3 linked regions of the Tamandua tetradactyla genome follow. The protein of the gene in region 1 purifies or fractionates together with the protein of each later gene. This does not show direct contact. Links are inferred from orthologs where the notes say so. Each region holds a gene or a part of one and is shown in the gene's direction. Other genes may lie near its edges. The genes, in order: PRKAR2A, AKAP8 and AKAP9.

The links.
Region 2: the proteins of PRKAR2A (region 1) and AKAP8 purify together in Homo sapiens (affinity purification with western blotting; 3 studies listed by BioGRID and IntAct, with this or other methods). This does not show direct contact. The link is inferred for Tamandua tetradactyla from reciprocal best matches to the Homo sapiens genes PRKAR2A and AKAP8.
Region 3: the proteins of PRKAR2A (region 1) and AKAP9 purify together in Homo sapiens (affinity purification with western blotting; 3 studies listed by BioGRID, with this or other methods). This does not show direct contact. The link is inferred for Tamandua tetradactyla from reciprocal best matches to the Homo sapiens genes PRKAR2A and AKAP9.

Annotation. Positions count from the first base shown.
Region 1 is NC_135341.1:37,420,703-37,424,447, forward strand, and holds the start of PRKAR2A (cAMP-dependent protein kinase type II-alpha regulatory subunit), read left to right. Parts: upstream 1-1,577; 5' UTR 1,578-1,801; coding exon 1,802-2,051; intron 2,052-3,745. UniProt on the Homo sapiens protein: Regulatory subunit of the cAMP-dependent protein kinases involved in cAMP signaling in cells. Type II regulatory chains mediate membrane association by binding to anchoring proteins, including the MAP2 kinase.
Region 2 is NC_135337.1:94,123,004-94,126,748, reverse strand, and holds the start of AKAP8 (A-kinase anchor protein 8), read left to right. Parts: upstream 1-1,277; 5' UTR 1,278-1,394; coding exon 1,395-1,413; intron 1,414-3,134; coding exon 3,135-3,173; intron 3,174-3,745. Other genes in the region: AKAP8L (A-kinase anchor protein 8-like), read left to right, coding at 512-607, 686-958. UniProt on the Homo sapiens protein: Anchoring protein that mediates the subcellular compartmentation of cAMP-dependent protein kinase (PKA type II).
Region 3 is NC_135327.1:124,514,592-124,518,336, reverse strand, and holds the start of AKAP9 (A-kinase anchor protein 9), read left to right. Parts: upstream 1-1,580; 5' UTR 1,581-1,896; coding exon 1,897-1,944; intron 1,945-3,745. UniProt on the Homo sapiens protein: Scaffolding protein that assembles several protein kinases and phosphatases on the centrosome and Golgi apparatus. Required to maintain the integrity of the Golgi apparatus. Required for microtubule nucleation at the cis-side of the Golgi apparatus.

The DNA of each region.
Region 1 (3,745 bases):
CTGCCCTGCCCCTCTAACCCCTTGCTGTCTGTCCTTAGTGAGGTTTTCACATTCTAAGAAGCACAGCTTTGCATTATAGGATCCCAGTTCTGAGAATGAGAGGTCAATACAGCAGTTTCAGTGGTTCTGCTTACTGCATAGAAATTTATCATTCAGTTTATTCAGGAAAACTCCAAAATGTGCAATGAGGACTCAGTAGGGAACAAGTCAGACACTACCTCTTCCCTCACAAAATTAATGGTCCAAGACCCCTCTCAGGGGTCAAGGAACTTATCTAGGAAGACATTGTTTGGAATCACAAGCCTGCTTGGCCTAGAAATCTCTGCATCAGTTGGGATATTGTGTTCCTGCTGCTAGAATCTTAGTTCCCAGTAGCATTCAGCTCCTGGGTGTGCGCCAAGCCAGTAAGAGAGGTGCTAGTGCGTGTTTTAATTAATAAGGGGTAATTACCAGGTGGCGCTTAACCATCCTGAACGTCCTTCAGCTTCCCAAGCCTACAGCTAGTCACTTCTGGCTAAGCCCATCAAGGAGAGGGAAGACTCTGTCCTATACCATCTGGGCCTCTGGTCAGCATCTAGGCCTCCATCTTTTTCTATTCCCAGTTTGGCTGGGGTGGGGGATATGCATTTTGAGAAATAGCCTGGATTCTCCGGTTTGCCTATACACACTCCCCAGGGGCCAAGGGTAGCAGTGCCTTACATTCTGCTCAGCTCCATCAAGAAGTGCTGGCCCAGGGCCCAGGATGGGAAGGGAAGGTGCATGCAGACCTAGATCTGAGAACCTGGTAGGAGTACTCAAGGAGAGGAGCAGGCACAGAGCCATGGAGGTTCCTTCTGCTCTGGGCCTTATTCTCCTTTTCGTCTTTACATGTTTGGTCAGATAAACTCTTCCAGGTTTATTTCTCTGCCTATGGCTCCAAAATTACTCTCTCACTGAAAACTACTACTACTAACACTATCACCACCACCACCACCACCACACACACAGCCTTCCCCAGCTGACATCTCACAGACCTCCTGCTAGCTTCCCGAATGTCCTATGGTCATTTCACCATTCCTTCCTGTGGCCAAAATAGTCCAGACTTGGCCAGGCCTTTGCTCTGTCTATCCTCTATACTCAGATGGCTTTCCTCCAGGTCTTCCTCTGACCAGATCCTACCAGGCCTCAGGGTCAACTTGAATGTCACCCCCTAATGAGGGCCTTCTTCTCCACCAAAGCCGAAATCACACTGAGGTGGTTGTGTGTGTCACCATTTGGCTCTTGGCTGTATCCCTAGCTCCCAGTAAGTGTCGGGAAACAAGGCGCTCAGCGTGTACAAAAAGAATAAATGCGAGCTCTTACGACCAGATGAGAGGCGTTAACCAGAAGCTGATTCGCCGGTTGGCCATTCATTTCTTCATTCGAGGGTCGCGCGCCGTGAGGACGCACTCGGAGCCCTTCCCCCGCAGCGACCCCCCGACGGCTCAGTAGGGGGGCGGCGCACGCGCACTGCGGGCTGGCGCTCGGCGGGGGCGCGCACGCCCGCAGCCGCCTGCGTCACAACCCGGGCGCCTGCCCTGCCCGTCCCGCCCGCCCGTCGGTCCCCGCGGCAGCCGCGGCGGTACAGTGACAGCGGCGGCGGCGCCAGCCGGCCGAAGTAACGCAGGGTCGGGCGGCCCGGAAACGCAGACCCGGCCTAAGTGCTGTGTGAGGAAAGCCGGATTGGGGCCGCGCGTAACAGAGCTAGGGGCCGGCGGGAGGGAGTACGGGAGGCTGTGGCCGCTGGCGGCCCGTATCCGCCAGTCTCCGCGCCGCGGTCAGCATGAGCCACATTCAGATCCCGCCAGGGCTCACGGAGCTACTGCAGGGCTACACGGTGGAGGTGCTACGGCAGCAACCGCCCGATCTTATCGACTTCGCGGTAGACTATTTCACCCGCCTGCGCGAGGCCCGCGCCTTGACCTCTGTGCCGCTCGCCACCGCCCCTCCTCTCGGCCCCCACGAGCAAGAGCCCTGCCCCGTCGCCGACGCCACCGCGGACGCCGACACTGAGGACGACGAGGAGTTTGACGGTAGGCAGCGGGCGGGGCCGAGGTTCACTGGAGGCTGGGGGTTCTCGGTGGAGGGGCTGAGGAGACTGGTCCGGGGTCGCTAGAGGTCCGGGGGCCATGGGGCCGTGTGTCGCGCCGGGGACCGAGCCGATAGCCCTGGACTGGTACCTGGGCGTTCTCGAGCGGAGTTTCTCGGATTTCCCGGAGCCTCCAGCGTGATTCCCGCGTGCGCCACTTCCAAATCAGCTGTTCTCCCATTCGTAGAGCGCACGGAATGATTTGCCAGAATCAGCCACGAGCGAAACGTGCGCGCTTTCGGTCTGGGTGGTCGCGTGGAGCTGGGGTTGGGGGCGTTGAGGTTCCGAGCCTACGTCGGCCTCGTGGAAGGATCCTCGCCCTTTCTTTGAGGCCCTTTGCCTCGTTTCGTTCTGAAGACAAGAGTATTAACACTCAGTGACTCGTACTTAATTTTCAGGACGGTAACTTTGGTATTAATTCATTTTTTAAAGAGTTATGAAATATTTCAACATAGACAAAAGTAGAGAGAAAAGAGAACCTCTCACACGTTCAACAATTGTATTTGCCGCAAATGTTTCACCCATACCTTTTTCCTTTTGCTGAAATGTTTTAAAGCAAATCCCAGACAGATCATTTCACTCCTGTGTAGTTGAATATGTATTTCTTAAAATATGGATCCTGGTAATCTCCTTTATTATTTATTTTAAATTTGGCTTAAACAATTGAATCAAATTTGGTGAAGGTGAACAGTATGAATCTTGTTTAGTGTGTGGATTGCAGAAAAGAAGAAAAGTAACATTTTCTTCATATGTTTTAAGCAAGAATGTCAAGAAGCAATTCCACTTTCCTTGGTTGTTTCAGCATAGGCTTTATCAATATAACAATAAATGTTGTTTTAACATTTTACTTTTACACAGCCAAAATTTAACGAAAGTATGAAAACATTTGAGAGGCAGTGTTAGAGACTTAGTATTATTAGATCACACTGAAAAAACTACTACGTAGTTGACTCTGTCCTGGTCTTACTTTCCAGCTACTGCTAGCTAGGAGTTAATTAATGGTCATTCCTTTGGGAGATTCTAAGCTTCTGTGTGCAGGACCACAGTTTATTCATGCTGAAAGAGTGGAATTGCTCTTCTCTGTTTTCCTCCACTTATTGCGTAGTCTGTTATGGATTTTTAATCATAAACCTGATAATCAGAAATTGTTGTTTGCCAAATTTCTGCCACAGGTTTGCTTTTGTGGTCTTAGACAAGTTGTTAAACCTGTTTTTACTTCAGATTTTACTTATCTTTAAACGGGGAACCAGGACGGCAATCTCCCAGGGATAAATGTGTTTTTAAACAGCTGTATCTCAGGTGTGACTTCTCAGTTTTTGTGTTTCTTTCCCCTACTGTTATTCTCTATTAATCACAAAGCTGTAACCCTTTTTGCCAGATTTTATTTGTACAAAACAGTTTAGAGGAGTATTTTAGAAATTATCCCTGATGAATAAAACAGTTTCAAGATTTTTGTATCACGTCTTCATTCTTTGTCATCTTTTGTGTCTTTTTCAAAATTGAGTTGATTTAAAATCTTTGTAACTGTGTTCTAATTTATTGGTATTTATTTTTGTTTTTTCCTCCTAAGTGGTTACCCTGCTATAGCAATAGAAATCAACACAAGATGAACTACTATTAAAAATACATTGCATATCC
Region 2 (3,745 bases), on another chromosome or scaffold:
ACTTTTGATACATTCTATCAAACTGCATCTCAGCCTGCCTTTGTCTTCAACCTTCTGTTACTTCTGTTCAACTTTGCAGTGCTCCATCATTTTGATAAGTGGTTTGGCATTTGTATCCCTGCTTTTCTATCTTTCCTGTTGATCTAAGATCTTTAAGATCCAAAGAACTTAGCACTTTGTCATTATTGCACATGGTTTTCAGTAGGTTTCTTAATTTGTCCCGTACTTACAGCTTAGGTAAGCAAATCAATCTCTGCAGTTCAGCTACAAACATATAATGCCATTCCAGTGTGGTTTAGCAAGATGGGGCATTTCAGCAGAGGTAGGATCCGGTGGTGGTTCCCTGCTTGTGAGAGTCGCCCTGTGCCTGCACCAAGGGACCCACCCTTCTCCCTCTTTGGGCCCTTTTCCTCTCCTTTGTGGAGTAGTGGGGCAGGACTGAGCCCGGGGGCTGGGTGCCAGGGCGCAGGGGCTGCAGGCAGCCTCCCCAGCCGCCTTGCTCTGCCCCCAGCTCATGATGGAGCAGTCCAAGAAGGCTTCGCTCATGGTGGCCCGCAGCATCCTCAACAACAAGCTGATCAGCAAGAAGCTGGAGCGCTACCTGAGGGTGAGGCGGACGGGCGGACGGGCGGGTGGGGTATGCGGGGCGCGGGGTCTGCCCACCTCACCACCCCCGTCCCTGCAGGGCGAGAACCCCTTCACTGACGGCCCCGAGGAGGAGCGCGAGCAGGAGGAGGCCGAGGGTGGTGCCACGGACGAGCCAGCGGAGGGGGCGCCGGCGCAGCCCCCCGTGCCTCCCGAGCCGGCCCCCGAGGCCGCGCCGCCGCCGCCCCCCGAGGAGGAGGAGGAGGAGGCCGTGCCCCTGCTGGGCGGCGCGCTGCAGCGCCGGGTGCGCGGCATCCCGGGCCTCGACGTGGAGGCCGACGACGAGGAGGAGGGCGGCGGGGGCGCCCCGTGAGTGGGCCCGGACGGGCGGACGAGGCCGAAGCCGCCCCAATAAAGTTCTTGCAGCCGCCGCCGCTACTTCCGTGTTGCCGTGTGTCTGTCCGTGCGCCACGGGGCCGGGAGGGAGGAAGTGGGGCGGAGATTACCTGGCGGGCTCGTGGGGGCGGGGGAGCAAGCGGGCGGGGTAGGGCAGTGCGCCTGCGCGCCAGGCTCGGCTGGAGAACGCGGCCCCAGTACCGCCCTTGGCTATTATTGGCGCAAACCCCGACTAACCGGTGGCCAGATTGGGACCTTGCGGGGCGGGCCCATGGCGCAAGAAGCCAATGGGGCAGCATGGGTGGGGTGACGTTGCTCCTGCGCCCCCAGTAGCTGGCGGCGTGACGAGTGCTGAGCGCCTGCGTGCTGGAGCAGCGAAGAAAAAGGAGCTGCCAGCGGGCTGAGGCGAAGACATGGAGCAGGGTTACGGAGGTAGGGTCTCAAGGTGCTGCGGTGGGGAGCGGGCGGCCTACGGCCGGATGCTGCTGCCGTCGCCGCGGAAAGAACTGCGGCCCGGGGCCAAGCCCTTGAGAGCGTTACCGCCGCCCAAGGCCAGAGGCCGCCGAGAGGCAGCCGGGGCGCGCGCGGCGCCCATTGGGCCGCGCCGCCGTCGCTCCTGGCAAGCTCGGTGCGGATTGGCCGGTGCGGCGGGGTCGGCCTAGGCAGTGGGGACGCTCCCCTTAGCGTCCCCGCCGGCCCTTTCTCGGTCGACCCCGGCGCCCGCGGTTCCGCTTTAGCTTGAGACGCCACAAGATGGCGGCGCGGGGGCGGGGCCTCGGCGGCCTGCCAGGCGGGGGGAGGGGCCGGGGTCGCGGTCATGGGGCAAGGGGGGGGTTGGTTGGTTGGCGGTCTGGACCCCGGGCGGCGCGTGTGGCCCGGAGCGCTCTGGTCAGGGCGGGGGAGGGCGGCCTGTGCGGGGCCGGGCAGCCTGAAGTGTGGGAGCGTGGCGGGATCCCGGCCGCAGGAATCGCAGCAGCCACGGGGCCCTCCTGGCGTGGCGCTGGGTCTGTCCGTTCGTTGCCTTTTCCCGGAGCCAGAGACCCCGCCAACCTGTCTCAGTTTGGAGAAATGTTTCCCTTTCGCCGAATTTTTTTAGCCTAAGTTCACTTAGCTGTTGCTGGCTTCTTGAATATTTTTGTGAGTTTCCCGCTCAAAACTCTGCCTGTCCCAGGACCGTTGGGCCTGGAGCAGGGGCGCCCTTACCGTGGGGACCACCCGGAGCTGGGTTCCAGTCCCAGCTTTTCTCCAGCTTGGGGATGAGCCTCAGTCCCTTGACACAGTGGGGCCAGGAGCAGAGTCCCACCCTCTGCTTCCTGGGGGCCCTGTTGTTCCGCAGTTGGTCACGTGTGCAGCTGTAGGCTCCTGCGCCTTCCTCGTGCCCAGATGTGGAAGCTGGGACCTTGGGTCACGGCTCTAACCTCTGAGTCTTAGCTGCTGGTCTCTGGATACTGCTAGGTGATGCCACCTGAGGTTAGAGTGCCTGTCACGTGGCGCATCGTAGGCCCTCTATTAGTCTGGAGCTCATTCTAGGAAGGGACATGCGGATCCATTCTTGATTTGTAAGAAGGAAGCAGGAGGCAGGCGTGGGTGCTGCGTTCCAGGGAGGGAGAAGTGAAGAGGGCACAGTTCTCACTCTCTTGCTTGGTGGCAGCCAGGTGTTGTGGGGGGAGGGTCCGCAGCAGCGAGGGGAGTCCTCAGAAGAGGGGCAGCCAGATGGGGTGGCACCTGGCTGAGTTCCGGATCCCTGAAGGCCCTGGGATGTGCTGTCAGGCTCGGAGGCCGGTTGCAGCCTCATGTTCCCAGAGCTTGTGTGTTTGTGGCCTGATGTTGGGTTCTGGCCTTGGCCTCTGGTCCTCAGGTGTGAGTTGTTGAGGTGGAGGTGTGCGGTCCTTGGCCGAGGCCCAAGCAGGAGAGGGGCAGAGCTGACTTCATAACCTGTCAGCCCCCCTTGTTTTTCCTGCTTTGGCTTCGGGCAGCTGGAGTGATGATGAAATCAGCCAGTATCCGGTGTCTCTTAGGATGGAATCCATTGCCTGCTTATAAGGCTGCAGTGGAACTCTGGTGAAGAGACTTTATGTTCCTCAGACCTCACAAAGCACCCGGTCTCCCAAGTGACAAATTGGACACTAACTCACTGTGTCTTCCATTTGCAGGCTATGGGGCATGGAGTGCTGGGCCTGCCAACACCCAGGGTGAGTGGTTCTGTCTCAGGGAGCAGTGTATGAGCCTGTCCCCAAGCTTCCCTCCCACCCGGAGGCCCTGGTGGGGCAGAGCCAGACCTGGCACTGCCCCAGGGGTGGTAGGTTTTATCCTGGGGAGGCTGCAGGGCCAGGCGCTTGGCTGTCTTATGGTCTCCGTGGTCTGAAAGCAGCTGTAGTTATGTAAACAGATGCACGTGGCTGGGTTCCAGTCTCACTCAGTTAAAGATGCTGAGATTTAAACATCATTTAATTTTCATGGGTTGTTTTTTTTTTTTTTGGTGGCAGTTTGTTATTGTGTTCTAAGTAAATAACTAAAGGTATAATAAAAGCTTTTGATAATAATAGGCTTTAGTTTTGGTTTAAAGATTACAAGACTGAACAGGTAGTGCACAGAACCTGATATACATTTCACCCTCATTTCAACTGTTTTAACGTTTTACATTCTCGTGGTCTGTTACAGTTGATGAGCTGATATTAGCACATTGTCATTAACTAGAAAGTCCATGGCTTCTGCTCAGGGTTTGCACTTTGTATTACACAGTTCTTGTTCTTTGGATTTTGGT
Region 3 (3,745 bases), on another chromosome or scaffold:
AAAACCCATTACTTAACTCAATTTTATAAAATAAAGTCAATATATATTATTCTGTGAGTTGATAAGACTGCATTTTAAATACTGTGGCCCTTGCAAAAGACTGTAGTCAAAGATGAAATGTTATTTTGATATCATATGTTGTTGTTAGTTGAACTTCCTTTCATGGTCTTCTTTATGTGATGGTACCTTGACAAGATTTTAATCAGGAAATCCAGCTGTAGCGTCTGGGGCTGCGGTAGCTCAGTCTACACCACAGGAAAGCAGTCTGCACCACAGATTACTGTATTCTCAAGGATGACTTCAAGAGTATTGTTTGCAACAAGCCCCAATGATGCACTCATTTATACTACACTTCTGCCTACATATGCTTTTGACTCAGCATTATTATCTCTCATTTTCATGACTTGGGAATAACAGCCAACTTCAAACACATTATTGTACCAATGGCCAGAGGATTGGATTCTGAAATCTCCAGCAAGAGGGGTGATATTATAAGGGTGAGCATTTATAATAAGGGCCTGTCCTTCTATTATGTTCCCTTCACCAATTACTATTGGCCTGGCTCTGCAAAAATTCGTGCTTTAGGGTGGATCACCGTCCTAGGTCCTATAGTTACATCTTCCCTGATTTCACTTTCTACACACACGGCTGCCCCAGGAATGATTTTCATAATTTTTTGAGTCTTCTCTGCTATGGTTTCGCCTGGTCTCCAACAGGAGTCGAGATGGATTTAATCGCCTGGGTAGGTCGATGATTTCCCAGTTGTGTTAGTTTTAATGTGCCAGGGACAGTCACATATATTAATTCGTTTAATCCTAACAACATTTCCAAAAATTCTAGGTGAACAAACTGGAGCTCTGGGAGGATTGGTACCTTGTTGCAAGATCATTAAAACTAGAAAGTGCATAATGGCTTTGTCTCCACCCCTGGGTCTGAAGCTTATGCCCTTTTCTGAACACCATCGCTAAGGGGAAGCTCCAAGGAGGGAGGGAATAGAGTTAGGGGACATAGAGGAATAAGCCATGACTGGAAACATCTCCATTGAGGTGGAGGGAATAATAGACATCAATAAAGCTACTTGGAGGCGACACCTCAGGTGGGCCTTGAAGGACGAATAGGGGCTTGGGCGGGTAACAGTATGGGGAAGGAGGGGCTTTCAGGATAAGGAAGTAATGAGAACAAGCAGCTGCTCTCCTAACTCCTGGAATAGAGTCAGTGCAGGTTGAGAAACTGACTCCCCCTGACCCCCCACTTTTTCCTTTTGGGCTTTTCAGTGCTCTCTAATCTCACCATTAGACATCTTTATTTTTGTAATTAAAAAAAATGTTTTAAAAGCGACCACAGAATTCCTAGAACAGTGAGTGGGGGTCCGACCGGATGCCCCCTGCCCTATCGCCCTTCCTACCCGACCCCTAGTCCGCCCCCACCTGGAAGCTGCGCATCCCGGAGGAAGGACAAGAACCGGCCAAGGCTAGAGGAGCACCCACTCCCTTGGTTCTTAGACTCGAAAGCTGAGAACTGCGTGGACAAGGGTCGCTCCCGAGGTCCCGCGCGCGGTGGGGAGGGGCTGCGGGCGCACCTGCCGAGCCCAGCGGGACTCGCGGCGGCTGCGCGAACAGACGTCCGCATCCCGCTCCCCTGCCCCTCCCCCCAGCCAACCCGCGTTCGGCCTTGTGTTTACGTGGAGACGAAGATGGCGGCGGTGGCGGCGTTCCCTGTGCGGCCGAGGACGACCAGCCAGTGAGCGAGGCAGCTGGTTCGACTGCGGGCGCTGGAAGCCGGGCTCGGCCCTGCTCTCTGGGCCCTGGAGCTTGCCGTCCCACTACGTCTGAACCGACCTTTTCTTTCTACCTCCAATCCCCTCCCTGTCTTCCCCCACCCTGCCCTGCAGAGGCCATGGAGGACGAAGAGAGACAGAAGAAGCTGGAGGCCGGCAAAGCTAAGGTAGGAAAGCCGGAGGCAGCCTGGCCGGCTGTGGGAGGCGGCGGCTGGGGAGGGTGGGAGGGGGCCACGGAAACGGAGATCGTGGTAGCTCTAGTGCGCTACCTTGAAGGGAGGTTCTTACAGACGTCTTTATTTCCCCCTCGCCACCGTCTTTCCAATAGTGAGAAAAGCTTCTAGCAAATGAAACTTCCGCGATGACTGGATCGTATGGCCCTTTTCTTTTTATTGCCCAAATGAAACCCTTCTATTACTGTAGTGCTGCTATAAGCTGATATTTATTAGTCCTTGATCTCCAGTCTTTCACTTTTTTTTAAAGGAGTTTTCTGGGTGGCGCAGGCATTGTTTTCCAGGGTGGGGATTTGGAGCTTTTCTTTATTTGATGGGGGATTTGTGCGCTGATCATCAGCTTGACTTCCTTAGGTGGCACGCTGGCACTCTTGGGTGTGTGTGATTGGCCTCTGTCAGCTGCCACAGCAGTGACTTGAGTGTGCCACACGTGCCAGCTGTGAAGTTCCTTTAGAGGCGTTTTTTAAGCGTGCTTTGTATGTTTGTGTTTGGAGGTCTTTGTCATGGCATGCGCTTTTGTATTGTGTGGAATGTTAATGCATTCCGTGATTGGAGTTCTGGGAACGACAGGTTCCGTATTTTAAGCAACACCTATAGAATCCCTGCTTCAAATACTACCTAATGGTTGATTGTGTATGAATATATATGTGTGTGTGTGTATCGGGTGACTCCTGATTTTATGTGTGTATATGTATGAAAAAGCCTGTAAAGTACACAATACACAGTTATACACAGGTATCTCTCAATTGAGAATTTGACGAAAAATTGGCATAGACAACATATAAATTAAGTAGCATGTTTCTTTTAAAATGTTAACGTTTGAGATTATCTCTTGGCCTTAAAGACGTTCTACAATGAAGTTACCTTTTATAGGTTAGATTCCAATTATCATATCAGAGGTAATTGTTAGCAATCATACTTGATTCATAATTAAATTATAGCTGTTTTTCCTTCCTCCCTGCTCTCCTCCCATATAAATAGACAAAGGAAACTGGGTCAATAATTTGGTAATCAACAAAGGGCCGTATTGCAGAGATGCAGCAGTAGATGGTTAGCCCAAGATTGTTAAATGAATATATATGTACACTAGTTTCATATTCCATAAAATTCCACTTCAGAAGTCAAGGCTTAGGTGCTTGTATGTACCCAGGTAAATTATTGCTTTAAAGTCCATAAATGGGGGAAAGGAAAATGAGGCTATTTTAAGAAGCCCAAAGTCAGTTGCTTACATTTTGTGCAGCCCCGAGGGTCTGAGCAAGCTCTATGCAGCCAAGGAAGTGGAGGTAAAGTGTGCACCCTCTTCCAAAAGTCTCTAAGTAGACAGTTTATATCTTGTCTATTACCTCAGAATTTTTACTGTCTGCTCCAGAAGTATCTTTTCTAACTGTATGTGAAACAGTCCTACAAAATACAGTTTACTTCGGCATAAATTCACTTTGGACATAATAACCCATAATAATTAGGGGATTTATTTAAATTGCTTGCCACATCATTTGATTTGGCAAAATAGAATTCTATTTCTTTGTGTGAATGTGGTTTTTTTGGTGTTTTAAAATTCTACCGATTAGGGTAAAAAATCTTTTTCTTTTAACTTTAACTTTTATTGTAGATTATCCTCTGGAGTTGAGCCCAGTATTTCCATTGAGAAATGAAAGTGTGCGGCATATAAAGCAAGATATATCTGCTGCAGAATTAGCTGTGTAATATAAAAACACTAGAAACAACCTTCAAAGAC